2 linked regions of the Rattus norvegicus genome follow. The protein of the gene in region 2 binds, or shares a complex with, the protein of the main gene of each other region. Links are inferred from orthologs where the notes say so. Each region holds a gene or a part of one and is shown on either strand. Other genes may lie near its edges.

Region 1 (8,837 bases), on a different chromosome or scaffold from region 2:
ATATGTTCCGGGAGTATATATACTAGTCAGGCTAAGAAAAAAAATATTTGTCTTATTTTTTTTTTTTTTTCTGAGACAGGCTTTCTTTGTGTAGCCCTGGCTGTCTTGGAACTCACTCTGTAGTCCAGACTGGCCTCGAACCCAGAGACCCACCTGCCTCTGCCTCCCGAGTACTGGGGTTAAAGATGAGCACCATCACTGCCCAGCTTCCAGCTTATTTTTAAATCTTAATTCTTGTGTGTGAGTGCAATGTATGCATGGAGACCAGAACTGTTATAGGCAGTTATGAACCACTTGACAGAAGCGCTGAGAACCGAACTTGGGTCCTCGGGAAACAATAAGCTCTTCGAACCTCTGGGCCGTCTTTCCAGCCCAAGAAAATTTGCATATACCACTCGTGTGAGGGAAAAAAATTCAGTCACCATCCCTGTTCTCATCAGCCTCTTGAGCAAATGATAGCGTTATTTTCAAAGGAGAGGTTACAATACATTAGCCTCGGGGAGAATCTAGAATTAGAACCTGTGTTGCTTACAGTGAGATGGCAGAGGACTCAAGGGCCAAACAGGAAAGGGGGGAAAGGAGAGGAAGAGACAGGAGAAACAGAGGATATGTCTACATACAGTGACCCCTGGGTAAAAAATTCGCAATTACTCTAGTGCCACTGAGACCGCTCGCTTCGTGTGCTGCCTGCTTCTTTGTTGTCAGCTGCCAGGTTGTCATGGTAATGTAATAACCTCTGATAAGCTCATTTTCAATTCTGAAATATTTTAAAGAAAAGCAAAGAGTAATAATCTGCAGAACGGCTGCAGGGAGAGAGAAGATGCTCACGGGCGAGAACAGCATCAGGGTGACCTTTCTGAGGCTGAAGTCTGTCTTAACGCTGGTGGGGTGAGCGGAGAGCAGAGGCTCAGAAACCTGGGCAGGCATCTGAAGCGCCAGAGGCCAGTTCAGTTCAGCCGTCACTTTCTGCTCCAGTGGGCCTGATGTGTGTGGTGCTTTGACCCAGTTCCCAGTAAGTGCACAGAGTGCCATTTGGGACCACAAAAGCCGCTGCCCCGATGGGTTTGTACTGGGCTCTGTGAGTGGCATGCTCTAGTCTCTCCTTGTCCTAGACACATCTACCCTACTCCACTGATCTCCTCTATTACCAAGAGGCACAAGGTCCTAACATCCTACCCGGCAGACATCTTGTGAGCCAAGGGCTTTCAGGGCAGCTTCCAAAGATGAGTGGGTGGGAAGACTGGCGGGTGCCTGCCTGTTCTTGCTAGAGCTCTTTCACTCAGCTGCCTCACCGTAGGGCTGACCAACACTGACTGCTGGACCCGAGAGAATGTTCATTAGGAGTGTGTAGCTAAGGAAGGGCTAGAGCTGGCTGGAGAGAACTGGAAGTGTTTTCTTCAGGAACCATAATTGATTTCAATGGGATTCTGATCTCCTGCAGAAATGGATGTGAGGGCCAACGAGTTCAAAAATCAGCCCCGTCGAAACACACACACACACACACACACACACACACACACACACACACATACACACACACACACACACAGCTTATTGAGTAGAAACACAGTCAAACTAGCACTAGCAACTGAGGCAGGAGGATCACCAGGTCAGTGATATCTGAACCTAAAACAAAACAAAACAACGAAAACCGGGGTGAGGATGTGATTCCCCTAGAGAGCATGAAGCCCTGAATTCCATGCCCAGCCCCCTGACGTGGTGGAGCACACCTGTGAGTCCAGTGTTGCTGTGGGATATGGGGGAGGGTCATAAAAATCATAACTTAAAGGTCATCTTTGGTTGCAAAGCAAGTTTGAGGCCAGCTTGGGCTACATGAGACTCTGTCTTGGGGGGTGGGGGGGACGGAGATAAAGGAAGGAAGAAAGGGTTCAGAAATTAAAAAATAAAAGTAAATAAAATTTTAATTTTTAAACTAAAAGAAGAGACGAATATAAAGAGTTGTGGCGAGCACAGCTTTGTTTTGGTTTAAAGGGTCTGAAATCCAGTGTTTTGTTGGAAACAGGCAGGCAGGGGAGGGCAGCAGTCTGCGCGGAGCTCTGAGCCGAGGCTGGCAGGGACAAAGAACTGCCTTCCTGGATGAGGACTGCATGAGCAGAGACCTGGTGATGGGAGCCCACTAAGGCCTGCCGGAGGAGCTAGAAGTAGAAGCAGGAACCACTGGAGCTGAGTCTCCTCTCTCCAGATGCCACAGCCTGTCAGAAGCGGGACTCGGGAAAAGGGCTTCTCTTCCGCCCCAGGACAGAGTCTGTTTTGTTTCTCGCCTACTCTGTCTGGCTCCTCTCCAACACCAGTTCTTAAGGCTCTGGACATACACAATTCCACAGGCCCCTCTCCCAGGATCCAGAAACAGGACAGTCACATCCGGCATCCTCTGCCAACCCCGGCTCCTCCAGCTTCATCGCAGTCCTCAGTCCCTGGCAACCACCCACCGAATCCCCTTCCCTGCCACCGTGTGTGGAAGCGGGATACTGGACAGTCATTTTAGCTGATTTGTTCAATTTGTTTCCTGAGCTTTGGGCAACCCACTCCATCTGTAGATGGCTGTAAGCAACTTCCAAGCAGCATGCCTTCCTAGCCACCTCCCAGGAGCTCCCCAAGGGCTGCCTTTCATTCTCCTTCCAGGGGTCTGTAGAATACAGCCCTGGATGTTTCCAAGGCACGGACTGGCATAATAAGCGCAGGCGTCTCCATGACACCGTTCATTGAGCTTATTGGAGCGTTCTGCGGATGCCACGGAACATCGAGCCAAATCCCAGGAACACGCTCTGAACCCCAGGAGCTGCACACCACTCTATTAGGTAGTTTATTGGCGCATCAAATCTGGAGTCTACCTCCCTCGGTTCACAAATCAGTTCAGAGAGAGGATCAAACTTGCCCAAGATTAAAGAGTAATGGTGTCACCTGCTCCTCTTCCCTGAATGGCATGATGCCAGGGATGTGACTGGTGACCTGAAAGGGAGGGAAATCAAGGCAGGAACGGCTGGGTGTGATGGAGACCTCAAGGCTGTTGTGAGCCCCCCAAGAACAGACTCTCTGGAGGCAGGCTTTATCGAGCAGGTCGTTCAACTGGGGAGCACAAAGGCTACTTAAATTTTTGGGGAGTGAGTAGGGGCACTCAGGGCAAACGGATGTCATTGTCCAAGACCAAGGTGTAGGGAATGCTTTACTGCATGAAAAGGAATTTGAGGTGCTTGCTGTCTGGACGTGACTTTGTCCAGAGAGGAAATTTAACCTATAACCTGGCCACCGGTTATGACTACCTCAAGGATTGCAGAGGTGGGGCCAAAAGGCTATGTACGTGCTCTGGAACATGCAGGCCCAGGACGGAGAAGGAGGCGTCCTGCTCCTGCCAGCCTTAAGATGGGAATTTTAGGGTCTGGACATCACTGGTGCTCCAGGTCAGCTTTCCTGGTTGCAGATCTCTCCTGGTCAAGGCTCCCAGCTCGCCTGGATCCCACAACTGCACAGTGTAAGTTCGTAGACATCTAAATTTTTTTAAAGATTTATTTATTTTATGTATATGAATACTCTGAGCTGTCTTGAGACACACCAGAAGAGGGCATCGGATCCCATTACAGTTGATTGTGAGCCACCATGTGGTGGTTGGGAATTGAACTCAGGACCTCTTAACTACTGAGCCATCTCTCCAGCCCGACATCTAAATTTTGAACCTAGCTCTCCTGATGCCCCTATTGAGGGACAATGTCCTCACTGAGCGGTTAATAGGGATCTGCAGACCTCTGATGAACAGCAATGTGGCTAACCGCCCTTTCCAGTGAAACGCACGGAAACTGCAGTGCCTGGGAGGGAAATGAACCCAGTCAATCTCTTTTGTTATTTTTATCTGATTGGGTTCACTTCAGACCGGTTCCCATTTCTTATTTATGACCAAAGGCCCTTGAGTGAGAAAAATGAACTCAAGGACACCATTTTCTTTTATGCACTGCAAATGTTTCTATACCTCCCCTCCCCTCCTCCTCCTTTAAAATAACATTTCCTTCCCAGGGGCACCCCCCCCCGCCCCCAAGCTTCTAAAATCCCTGGCCTTTCCAATCTCCTCTTTGCCTTGGCTATAATTATCTTGGGAGAATTTAAATTCCTTATCATGGGTTTGTGACAGCCCCAGCTTAAGGCCTAGCTTCCATTCTGAGGTCTTGTCAAATTGCCCTCCATAGGAATTATTGTTAGGGCTTTTTTTTTTTTTTTTTTCTTAAAGGGTGATAATAGGATTTTGACTATGTTGAAGAAAGAACCCTTATCTTTTTTGAGATACGTGCTGAAATATTTACCAGTCCGGGATTTGCTTCAGAACAGTCCGGTGAGGGAGATGGCAAGCACCACAATATCTTACTGAAATTGTCTTTGCTGGCTTCCTCTCACAATCCTTCATTCATTTCCCAGTGCTGAGGGGAGAACTGGGGACCTCGTGGATGCTTGGTAGGGATTCTTCCACTAAGCAGTTGCCCACCTCTCTTGCAGGGACCCTTTGGCTTCCTCTCTTTTACCTCTCGCCCCCAGTCTTTGGATCTGTATGTTTTGAGCCTGGAGATGGGATTTGCCTCTGGGAGACTCAGCAAAGGAGAGAGAGAATCTTAGTTTCGAGAGCCCATCTCCAGGCTGACAGAAAGTAGCTCGCTCTCTCACTGGGGTCTTTCCTTCTTTTGACCTTATTATTAGTGTGTGTGGAGGTCAGGGGACAACTTTGAGGGGTTGTCCCCTCTCTTTCCACCCTATGTGGCTCCCAGGGATGGAACTTAAGTGGCTGGGCTTGCATGGTAAGCACCTTCATCTGCTGCACCATCTCGATGGCCTGGATCCCCCTTTTCTACTTCTGCTTCACCTGTCTTGAAGATAGATATAAATTCCCCAAGGTCTCTCCGACCCCCACCCTACCCCCCACTTCAACTCCTGTGCCCTTCAAGGGAGGGAACGAGGGAGGGAGGGAGGGAGGGAGGGAGGGAGGGAGGGAGGGAGGAGGCAGCTTAGAGAAACAACCATCATTTCCAAGATCTGAACCAGATCTAGTCACCTGGTCCCCAGGGTTTCCTGGAGGTCTTATGACACTCCGTCCCCAACATGTGCGAATGGAACTCCCATCCCCTCTTAACATGATCTCCACAGGCATCCTGGCCCTCCCTCCAGTCATCCATAGACTCATTTGGGCATCCTTTCCCTTCACTTCCCTGCCCTGGCTGTCTTGATAAGCTCGTCTAGGCTGTGCTGGTCTAGGCTGTGCTGGTCTAGCCTATGCTCATCTTGCAGAGCCTCCCTTAGTTACCTTTCACCATTGCACTAGTTCAGGCCCAAGGCTCACTGGCCTGAACTTCCTGACTGGATTCACTTCCTTCAGGTTGCTGCCAATGTTCCCCTTCCCAAACCATCCCACCAGGCCTCGAGAGCCTCCAATGTCCTCTCTCTGTGGAGAACAAGAAAAGACGAAATTCCTTAGTGTGGCATTTGATACCCTGCATAGTTTGGTCTAAATCTATTGGTCTCTATTTCCTACTAGTGGAGCCATGGACCTGGGTTCATATCAAAATAAGATCCCATCTCTATGATTAACATGCCAGAATCCTAGGTCCTACCTTCAACATTTGAATTAGGAATCAATCAGCCCATCTGAGAAGCACACAGAGGACCAGAAGGCATAGGGCTCAAGTGGGAATTAACTCTATAAGTTTGAGCACCAGAACTCAGGTCCCGGTTTTCTGAGGTGGCCTTCCTACTGGTGTTGTCTGTGGGACTTCCATCACCAGGGCCAGAGGGTGCAGCCCATCTTCCTCTCTTATCTTCAGATACTTGCAAAGTGGATCTTGAATTCAGGTGTGGCTATGTGAGCAAGTGGATGCTCGGATAGAGGGTTGTATCATTGGCTTTGATGAGTACATGAACCTTGTACTCAGATGATGCAGAAGAAATTCATTCTAAAACAAAGTCAAGAGAACAACCGGGTCGGATCATGCTAAAAGGAGACAATATTACTGTGCTCCAACGTGTTTGCAACTAGCAATAGTCAAGCGGGGAGAAGTCGAGAAGGGAGTTCAGGGTTTTAAAGGTGTCTTCTTCTGGGAGCTACGTTTACTCATCTTGTTTCACTTGTACATTATCATTAGGTGGCAATAAATGTTGTGAGATTGTTTTTGTTAAAAGGAAGAAGGAAAGAAAGAAAAGGGCCTCTACACACACACATGCATATGCACCTGCAACCCACAGGAACCTCCATACATACACAAGTACATTTTACGTTCACAGAAGATCCTAGGGCCCTCCTTCCAGCCACAATAAGTGTCATTTCCCTATCTCACTTCTCTTTGAGGCCCCATCTCAATGCCATGTCCTTCACAAAGCCCCTGCTGCTGGCAGACAAACGGAACCTGGACCCACTGCGCTCTGAGAGCACTAAACACACTTTGGTCACACAGTGTGCACACCACACTGTAAGCAATTTTCTGCTTGCCTTCCTGTCTAGAGTGGAATCTCCACCAGAGCAAGGCCCAGAACACCAGGGGTCCCCTCGCTCGGCACAGAGCAGTGCTTCATAAATACCAGTTCATTCGATCGCTTCTTATTCTTCCCGGTTCCTGGCCACCGAGCATGGTGCTTAGCGCCACTGGGTGCTGTCTGATGGGAAGATACAAAGGGATGGATGGGAGCTCGAAGGGACGATGAGACGCACAGATCAGCTAGAGATGCCTTCTCCTTGCTTAGCATTCTGGAATGCTCGTCTGTGAGAGACCAATCTGAGGGAGCTGTAAACGGGGTCAGGGCATGGCTCTGTGGGGTCTAGGTTTCATGAAGTCACCATATCTGAAGGTTCTGACGTTAATCAGGAGCATTGCTCTTTTAAAACCGTTTACAGCATTTGTTTATTTGTGTGTGTGTGTGTGTGTGTGTGTGTGTGTGTGTGTGTGTGTGTGTGTGTGAAGGTCAGGGAAAACTTGTGTGAGCTGGTTCTCTCCTTGTGCATCAGGGATCAAACTCTGGTCTGCTGAACCACCTCACCCCGCTGTGATGAATGCGTGTGAACCGACAGTCATCTTCCCTCACAGCCCTCCCATCATGAACCTCGGGACAGTCTTAATTTTATCACATGGAGAACTCCACCCGGCAGGATCTGCAGAGACCTCCACTGGCTCTACTCTGTGGGAAATCTGCTACTTGTTGTAGGGCTGGAGGAGACGTGCCTTGGGGTGCTGTAGCTGGACCAGGGTGGTTATGCTGTTCTGGCCCCCACTTACTGTCTCTAGGAGACTGGCACATAGCACTCCGATTCTCCATGGTCCAGCTTTTTCGGTCCTGCAGTGGGAGCCCTAGGTGTTCCTAATCCCGGTGGTTGCTGAGCGGTGAAGTCATGTACGGTGGACATCACCACCTGGGCTGTGATTTAGGACAAGTGGAGTTCAGTAAATAACGAATAATTGCTGGCCCCAGGTGCTAGCGACAGAGCTGCAAGCTGTGTCCTAGCCATGAATTCCAGCTTCTGGAGTTTAGTAACAGAGCTCCTAGGAAGCCAGGGGTGAGTGGGGAGGCTGTGGCAGGGCTGATCTTGGACTAAATGACTGGGAGTGGGTGAAAGTTGCACTTGGAGATAGAGGCTCTGAGGAGAACGCAGACATCTTGCTTCTGCTAGTTGGTGCCGGGCTACTAGGTGCCTTAACGAAAGTGGAACCACGGAGCGGAAATGAGGCCATATTAGATCCCTGATGATTTTTTTTTGTTATGGGAGACTGGGAACTGGAGATTCAGACAGGGCTTTGGGGTCTGCCTATGATGAGAGAATTATAAGAACGCCCTCTTCGTGTCCGCAGAGCCGATTGTCGCTAAGACATGCTAACCCTGAGACTTCAGAGGAGATCCCAAGAGAAGTTCTCTCCTTACTGACTGACCCCAGGTGCGCCGAGAGCCCTGTGTGATAGATATACTTTGGTCCTGCGGCAGGGCTTGAGCCAGGACGGTCCCCTAAGTGGAAACACAGAGAAAGACTTGGGAATGATTTGGGAAGAGAAGGATGAAGGGGCTTGGGTGGCAGAGTGAAGGATGGCAAGACAGATCTGACCAGAACCTGCTTTGTTAGTCCTGGGATTTCATAGGGAACAAAGCCCCACACAAGGGGCCTCAGACATTGAAACAAAGCCGGACTCCACCAAAGACTGGAGAACAGCGCCACCTCCTGGCTGCCTGAGGCTATGACCCTCTTCCACAGGCAGAACCGCAGGGTTTTTAGGGAGACCCTCCCTGTGTGTCTGATGTCTTAGCAGTCAAGAATAAAATGATCCTTTGAGCTCGTTTCCGGTGAGCCTGAGATCCTGCTCTCTTACTAACGCCCCCCCTCCTCACCAATACACCTATTATTCGGACCCAGATCAGCTTTGGTCCCTAGCATGTGGAGGGGCTTAGAGAAAGTTCTCCCCCCTGCCTCCACATATAAAATCATCCAACTCCAGGGGACATCAGGCAGGGAGAATGTTTCTTGGAGAGACAGGCCAAGGAGAGGCAGCCAGATGTAGGAACAGTCTCTTTGTAGCATGATACTTGCATTAACTCTACTGTCCCTATAGCCATCCCGGTAGGCATTCATAAGTCATAGCTCTCCTGCCACAAGACATTCCAAGGTGAGATATTCCAAGCAAGAAGAATTTACTAGAGCTGTTACATACTGTAAGGGGCAGCACTTTCAAGTAACCCAGAGGTGTTACACTGTGCATCGCTAAGCTAAATCCCCAGCCCCCTTTTAAACTTTTATTTTGAGAATCACCTAGGCTGGCCTTGAACTCTCCCTGTAGCCCCCAGGTGCTCCTTGACCTTGTGATCCTTCT
Region 2 (8,204 bases):
GGGTGTCTGTAGGGGACTCTCACCTGGAAGGACCCCAGTCCCAGCTCCAGGGGTAGACGGATGCCAAGGCCAGCACTGTCAGGCAGGAAGTTGAAGATGATGTAATGAATTCCAAACAGCGGGATAAGGAGAAGTGTTGATTTGGAAAGCCGCCTTGGGGAAGACAAATTCTAGACTCTGAGGCTGTCCATCACCATCCCTCCTGGAGACTCTGTCCTCCACACAAATCTCTGGGCTTCTTTACTAAGGGCCATCACTCTACTGTGGCCATGCAGTTATTCCGGCTACCCCAGAGTCTCTGTACATCTTTTAAAGTCTGACTCTTCCAGGAACCCTTCTCTAACTGCTCTCTCCTCCCATTTAAGACATAACCTCCTCCTCCAGCCCTCATAGAAATAAATACAGCCTGTGTCAGCCACTCGCCATGGTAACTGGCAGTTTCGTGTGCCACTTTCCTGTACTGTAATCTCATGGGACGAAGGGCCCAGATCTGTTCTCTCTCTAGGAACTTGAGGAAGAGGACAGGACCAGGGTAATAAATAGTTGCTGGACAAGACAAAAACAAATGTCATTCCCTCCAAGTACCTTCCAAGTGGGTTCCCCAGATATATACTACACACACATGCCACACACATGAACTCACACACGCACATGGCACCTCCACACGTGCATGCACACACACATGAATGGTACCAGTACTGAGCCCGTGTGTGTAAGCCGCCTTGTGCAGGCCCCAGCTTCCTCAGCAGGATGCAAATTATATTGAGAAACAGCCCAAAGTTCACCTGGAAACGAGGCACAGGAAAGTGGGTGCAAAGGTCAGAGGCAGCACTAGGTGGCCGGCCTAGGATCAGCCCCATCCCTTTTGATGACTACGAATCCCAAACCTGTGAGGTACAGGCAGGGCAGAGAAAGACTGAGCCTCCCCCTCCTCCCCTCCTTTCCAGTACTGGCAAAAAGGATGAGAGACAGGTCTGGCCACCTGCCTCCAGACACCTCTCATGGTCTCTTGGGTACAAAGCAGCTGTCCTTCACTGTGCAGTTTCTCTGTTGGGAGAGACCACACACCCACAAGAGCCATGCCACATGGGGAGTAGGAGCAGCTGAGTGCTCATCTGTGGGTGCCATCCACTACCACTTACCACCCCAGCAAGAGACACTCTGCAGGCCAGACACACGGAAACCAGAAAGCAGGTCTAGGTGCTGATGTAACCAACTAGTGCCAGAGAAGCTAGGCACCGGTTTCCTGATTCCCTTGGGGGTAATCATGCTGCCACCCCCTGCAGGGCCACATAAAGAAACCTGGAGGCTGGGTTAAGAAACCAACTGACTCTGGTCTCAGAAACTGACCCCAACAGAGAGGACTATGGGCCCTTTGATGATCCACCAGTAGGGGGAGCTGTCGTCTAGGTCCCAGCACCTGGGAAGAAGAGAGCGTGGGCTTGAAGGTGCCCCTTTTCTTCTCTGACAATGCACCTCCTCAACACACATGCTATGCCTCCTGGGGCCTCTCTCTGTCTAGTGCTCAAGTCTTCAGCCCCACTCTATCTCCTTGTGGCCTGTTCTCCCATCCTAGCCTCTCCAAAGGAGAGACCCAGTGAAGACTGGCCCTTTTCATCCTTGTCCAGACATTTCTTGCCCTTGGAAAACCTGATCAGAGCTGCTCTCTTGAGATTCATAGCTCTGACAGCCTTTCCTGCCTAAGCTCCTGCCCCTCCTTCCTCCTTCCTCCTGCCCACCTGCCATGCTCTAACCTAGAGGTCCCCTCTCCCTCCCCCTTAGATAGTCTACTACAGGCCTTGCTGACAGCATGGGGGTGAGGAAGTTGCTCTACTCACGCAGTGTCCTCAAAAGCCAGTTTGCAGCCCACCCACGTACCAGTGCATAGCACAGGGAGTCCTGTGAGTGAGATAACACAGAGATGAGTGAGGGTCCTGCACCCTTTGAGTGTAGACTCCACCTCCCACCAATTGTTAGCCACATGCAGACTATGATAGTGGGCCCAGGTAATGGCTTGAAGGGATCTGGTCTACTTCCTGATGCTCAGCAAAGGACTATGGCCTGCCCTCTTCCCCCCTCTCTGAGCCTCAGAGTCATTCACAATGAGAAAGGCCTCTTTATGAGCTCCCAGGTCCTTCCCAACCTCCACCTCCCCTATGATGGTCAATGAGCCCTTGATGCTCACCCCAGCCAGCGAGAACCAGCCACCAGAAAGCTGGTTTGGACCTAGGAGATGTGGAGGCCAACAGACAGCTCAGGTAGACGGCTTCTGCCAGCAGCCAGCTGAAGTTGGTCATGGTGGCAAAATGTGAGACGGCCACAGAGACCTTGCACAGAATCTAAGAGCAGGGACCTGATGCTTAAGAGCTTGGAACCCCACTTCAACCCCCATTGGATCTCTTTCACCCCTCTGAGACCCCAAACCCTCAGGTCCCCTCCACCTTGGACCGGACCATTCCACCCCTTGGTGTGCCACGGGAGGAGTTTGACAATATAATTGTGATGGTCAGAACACAGACACACAGGCTAGGTTCAGGTTAGGTGTGTCTTCTGTCAATCATGCAAAGCATCTCAGCCTAGGTGTTCTGTCTGTGAAAGGAAAAACTCCAGGACCTCTTAAGGTCGTGTTTGGTGTGTCACACACACACACACACACACACACACACTGTTCTATTTGCTCTGTCATGTGCCCTTCCTAAGCTGAAGTTCTCCTTTAAAGTGATACTAACCATGGACTGCTTATCCCTGCATAGCTTTGATCAGTGGATATAGGATGTGTCCATCATGCGTGCAGCCATTAGTCTTGTTCCTCCCTCACCTGCCTATGTGGGCAACAGTACAACTTCTGAGCCCAGTTGCCCGGGCTCTATCTATTCCCCAACTGTGTGGCTGGGTGACCTGGCCAGCTGCCCCTTGTTAACAAAATGGGATTACAGTGAGGCCTTCAAGGCCTTTTAAGATCAAAAGAGATAATACATGTAAAGTACTTGGTGTGCTGCCCGGCCTAAGTGAGTGCAGTCAGTGATTAATTCATTAATTAAATCAGGCCACTCGTTGGTCTGGGCACTCACTTGTCTATTCATTTCTAGAACACTTGAAAGACCTTGAACTCTGACCCCTTCTAGTTCACTCTGCTCCTCTCCTCTCCTTTCCCCACCCCTCCACTTTTGGGACTTCCCACTTCCATGAGGTAGCTCTGCCCCAGACTCTCCTCTCATTGAAAGCTTCCTCCCCATCTCACTGTCCTTGTGTCCATGCACCCCCTCCATGAGGCCCTTCTCTTAGTTCCCAGCTTTCCCTACCCAGCAGTCCCCAAGTCTGGGTGCCTCCTGCTGCCTAGGTGCCTCTGGAAGAAAGGGGGTGGCAAGCTCCACCCAGGTCCTTGTATACTCATTAAAGGCAATGACATGGCTGGCTGGCCCAGGAGCTGCTGTAACCAACTTGAAATGGGAACATTGATGAAAGAGGTATGATGGTATGGGATGCCCCTGGCAAAGGGAGTCGCTCATGTTGGCATTGATCTATGAATGGGTGGGGAAAGCTTGAGGCTTCCTTCCCTTGTTGCTGGTCATAAATACAGGCTGTGTAGCAACAGGTCAGGCACATGCAGGTCTGTCCCCTGCCCTCTTCCCCTGTCCCAGCTCCCTCCAGCCATAGCCCTTACAGTGGACATGCTGCAGTGGTCCGTGCTATCACCCTGGAAGACAGCAGCATCCTTCAGGAACACAGCACTGGCCTTGAGGATGAAAGTAGCAAACAGCTGCGTGTGGATGTAGTTCCTGGGGCAGTGGAGCCTCCTGGAAGGGACAAGAGAGATGAATGGAGAGGCCTAACTGCAAAAAGACCTTCCCAGGGCCTAGAACAGGCCTGGCATGGCTGGGAAGCTAGGCAGAAGGTGAGTCAATGCAGAGTAGCCAAAGCCACATCAAATAAAATGAAAGCCAATGAACTGGGTAGAGAGTGAGAACAATGTGTCAGTTTGACCCTGAAGGTCAGCTGGCCAGCCTTTTCATGGCCTACGCTCAGGTAAGGAGCAGGGGTTCTATAGCCCCGCCTTCATACAGCTCTGTAACTGTGGGTGCAGAGACAACCACAGTCCAGTAAGACCCTAGGGAGCCCCCTGGTGATCAGAGATCTACCCTTTGAAGCATAGTCCTGTGAGGAAACTCAACTTTTGAAGGCTGGAAAGCCACCACACCCAGCAGTACGAGCTGAGAGTGGGCTCCATGGTGAAGGCTATAATGGTCTGTAATGGTTCGAAAACCACAACCATCCAAAGAGGACCATGCAGGGGTCAAGGAGGATTCTTAGAACCTGATGAGAGCTGGACTTCCAGTGTTGGCAGGGATGAACGCAATACCAAGAAAAAGAAGGCACTGGAAGCTAACAGAATGAGCAACTGTGTGGAAAGCCAAGGGAACAAAGACCTGGTGTGTGAGAAGAGGGCCCACCCGTGGGGGTTGGAAGGGAGGGGCAAGAAGTCAGCGAAGGTCACCTTGCCTGGATCTGAGCCCCTCTTGTCTATGCAGGCAAAGAACCAGACATGGTCCCCAGACAGTAGGGAGCCAGTGATGGTTTCTGAGCAAATGACGAACCTGAGAGCAACCAGGATGGCAATAGCCACGCAGAGGGCTACAATGGAGATGCTGTGGCCTGTGGTGTAGATGATCTTCACCGTGGAGAAGTAAGACTTCTGGGGACAACAGAAGCAGAAGGGAGGTTTGGCAACCAAGCATGGGTCTGCAACTCCACCAGCTTCCTAGTCACCGACACCACAGAAAGCCTTGTACAGGCACTGCCTCTGCAGGTGGAGGCATTAGGGAGTCACAGTTGCACTGGGGGTGGGAAGAACCAGCAGCAGCTGCTGCCTCTGGAGAGTAACAAAAGCACCAGAGGAATTTGGGCCTGTTTCTTGACCCCAGCTAGCTTGAGAACACTGTCATCCCATATAAAGGTAACATCCTGGACACCAGGGACAGCCACAGGCAGGCAGGGAAGGCTCTTTGGTATCCAAGTATTTGAATCAGTTGGAGCTAGGGGTGTAGTATGACCAGGTACTACTACAGCTCTGGCTCTGACGTTCAGCTCACGCAATCCCTGTGCTTCCCTGAGTTGTCTCTCCATCTGAATGATAAGGACACCAGGGCTTCAACTCTTAGGGCTGAGGGCGGGGAGAAATGGGATTGTGAGTGTGGATGGGCCTTGAGAAGATCCTGATCTGCACACAGTGTAGGGTATGCTGCCCAGAGCCAGGGGTCTCTGTAATTACTACACCCTGGCCCAGGCCACAACCCAGTATACTGTACCACGGGCTGAGGACCCGAGAAAGGAAGCACTTCCTGTCTAGCACAACAGTAATCTTCGTTCCCTCTGAAATACCTAAAACCCCCACCCAGCAGCAGAAACTGAGTAGAGAAAAGGCTGGCCAAGAGGAGGGTGACTATGGCTTCCAGTTTGCCCTCTACTTCCCTTCTCCCTCAAAGCAAAGTAACCCAAGTGTCACCCTTAAGTAAATGAATCAGCTTCAGGAGGCACGTTCCTGCCATCTGCTGGACAGCTCCTATAATTACTATGCCCACATGCTGGTTACAGTGACAATGACAGCCATCCATCATCCACTGAGATAGTAAGCTACCACTTTTACCAGTATACATGGTCACCTTCCTCTAAGACATTGGGAGCTGCTTACCTCCTCTGTTAGCAGTTCCAAGGGCACAGGACAGGCCACGGGATATGGTGGGAAGGGATCAGACCAACCCGTGATGGTGCAGTCCCTTTTCACAGCCCCTAGAGGCAAGCAAGAATCTCTGCTTACAGAATTCCACCCTTTCCCAGAAGATGGTGGGAGGGCCCTGACTGTCAAGTGTCCCTGCAAGATCTATACAAGGAGTTCTTAACCACAGGGAGAGAAGAGTCCTCTTTTCCTGTGGCTGGGGTTCCAGACAAGTGTAGTCTTTCCTGTTCTCCAAGAAAGCTCTGTTGAACAATATTCATTTGAGGGGCACAAGAATGGAATGATGGACCTCTACACTCTAAGGGCAAGAAGTATGATGCCCCCTTCTCCATAAGGGTCAGGAAGGCCAGAGGGTGAAGTGGAGAAGGAGGTGTTTCTCACCCTCTACAATATGGTACCCCCTCCCTCTCTCCAATGCTGTCATTAATCCTACACTGGGAGGCTGACACTATCAGTCATTAGCCAAGAGGACTAAATTTTTCAGGGTAACAGTCGAAGATAGAAAAGTGAGACTGAAGTCCAGGACAGCCCATCACCCAATCAGTGATGAGCAAACCACAAGGGACCACCTGCTCCCCAGCTCTGCCACAGCTAGGCCACTCACCTGGGTCTGAGCCAAAATGAGAGAAGAATTCAGGGCAGGGGAGGGAGACCCACTGGCCAGAGCCAGTTGGGGGCCAGCACAGCAGCCCATCCCAGGTCCCAGGGCATCCTAAGTGGAGAAGGAGGAGACATGGCACCTGTGAGGGAAACTGAGATGCTATCCTGCAGGGCAATGCAAGAGGAGGTGTCAGGATTAGGGACATCCCCACCCCTTCCTACCCATGGACGAGTTGTTGGTCCCCTCTGCCGCCTGAAGGCATGCAAGCTCATCGTCTCTCAGCTGAGTGATGAAGTCACATTCTAGGTGGAGGTGACCCAGTGCCTATGGGAAATAGTGACATAATGAGACAAGCCCACTAGAGGCCTCGTGCTCTCTAGCTGGAGTGACCTGAAGACAGAGACCAAGCCTGGTACATTTCCATGCCCTACTTCTGAGAAAGACCCATCTGCCCCACAGATATCAAGGCATGTTTGATGAGCAGTGGGGCTTAAAGAAAAAGGAGCCAGGAATAGAGGGCAAATGCTCAAAAGGGAGGGAGGAGCAGGAGGGGAAGAAAAGAGAAAGGAGAGCAGAAGAAAGAAGGGAAGAAGAGAAGGAGGAAAGGAAAGAAAGGAGGGCAGAGAAAATAGGAAAGAAGAGAGAGAGACAGATTCACTTTTCCATCTTGTGGCAGTGAATTCTGAGACATATTAAAGAAAGTCATGTAGATGTCGATAGCTGTGACAGTGCACTCCTTCACAAGGCCTTTCCTCCTTCCCCACCACCCCCTACTCCATACACTTCTGGGCCCTAGAAGTGTTTCTGCATGAACAGCCCTGGTAGGCAGAACAATGGTCCCCAAAGATGTTCATGTCCCAATCCCTAAAGCCAGTAAATATGTAAGACACAAGGGACTTAGCAGATACAGTCAAGGATTTCCAGTCAGGAAGATGCCTTTGGTTATCTGAGTGGGACCAGAATCATAACAAGAGAGCACAAGGACCAAATCAGAGGGGACAAGATGGAGAGGGTTAAAAGAAGCTATGGTGCTTACTGAAGATGAAGAAATGCCTCAGGCCAGGCCAGGAGACTCCAGAAGACCACCTGGCTTTAGCCAACTGAAAAGCATGGACGTCTGACATGTCTCAGACAAGTCACATGAGCAAATGTAAGTGGGAGAGAATACGGGCAGATGGGAGAGTAAGAAAACAAGAGCTCTTGACTGAGGCAAAGGGACAGGGAACAGGGAGGATGGAATGGGGAGGGACTGGACTAACTGACTAGTGGAGTGGGTGAGTGTTCAGACAGACATACAGACAATGAGATCGGGGAAGGTGGACATTCGAGGATGCACAGAAGCATGGTGGATGATGAGGGTCCTGCGTCAGGGAAACTGAGTTGATCATTAGATAGGAAGGAAGGAAGCTGCCTTCATGCGTGCTTGGTGATCATAAAGATTGCAGACTGGATCCCTCCCAGAGTCCGGGAGGGCCACAAGAAATGGTCTCTAAGTTTTTCTGGACATTTCTGTGTTTCTGATCGGTGATTCAGGGGCCGTGTAGAGCCCAAGTGCTGCAGGTGAGACAGAGATCTGAGTATGCCTAAAATTCCTAACATCTCTCAAGATTTACATAAATTCCCTTGCAAGATCCATGCACTTATACATCACACACACACACACACACACACACACACACACACACACACACACACACACACACTTAGGACCATTCCCTGACCTGACCAGCTTCTCACCTCAAGGTTTGGGAGACACTGGACAACTCTAGTCCTGAATCTGGTGTCTACACCAGCTGCTGAGTGACTCCTCTTGTCTGGGATTCCCTCCCTGAAATTGAGCTTTCAAGGTACTGTGTACACAGAGGAGGA

Evidence for each region.
Region 1: the proteins of Ghrhr (region 2) and Ghrh are in contact, whole or in part, in a cryo-EM structure (PDB 7CZ5), measured with the Homo sapiens proteins. The link is inferred for Rattus norvegicus from reciprocal best matches to the Homo sapiens genes GHRHR and GHRH. Residues at the interface, in NP_000814.2 of Homo sapiens: Leu119, Ala120, Glu122, Glu123, Phe126, Ser127, Val129, Lys130, Tyr133, Val179, Lys182, Leu186, Phe187, Asp190, Thr192, Asp193, His194, Cys195, Phe197, His210, Thr213, Phe217, Ala271, Cys272, Asp274, Leu275, Asp276, Trp282, Ile285, Ile289; in NP_066567.1 of Homo sapiens: Tyr32, Ala33, Asp34, Ala35, Ile36, Phe37, Thr38, Asn39, Ser40, Tyr41, Arg42, Val44, Leu45, Gly46, Gln47, Leu48, Ser49, Ala50, Leu53.

The regions. Positions count from the first base shown.
Region 1 is NC_086021.1:166,426,359-166,435,195, reverse strand, and holds the start of Ghrh (somatoliberin precursor), read left to right. Parts: upstream 1-3,315; 5' UTR 3,316-3,490; intron 3,491-8,837. UniProt on the Homo sapiens protein: GRF is released by the hypothalamus and acts on the adenohypophyse to stimulate the secretion of growth hormone.
Region 2 is NC_086022.1:85,851,083-85,859,286, reverse strand, and holds part of Ghrhr (growth hormone-releasing hormone receptor isoform 3 precursor), read right to left. Parts: intron 6,660-8,204; coding exon 6,557-6,659; intron 6,475-6,556; coding exon of another isoform or gene 6,447-6,474; coding exon 6,339-6,446; intron 5,788-6,338; coding exon 5,690-5,787; intron 4,694-5,689; coding exon 4,596-4,693; intron 3,798-4,595; coding exon 3,665-3,797; intron 2,340-3,664; coding exon 2,186-2,339; intron 1,900-2,185; coding exon 1,839-1,899; intron 1,421-1,838; coding exon 1,351-1,420; intron 786-1,350; coding exon 694-785; coding exon of another isoform or gene 285-693; exon of another isoform or gene 154-284; coding exon 24-153; intron 1-23.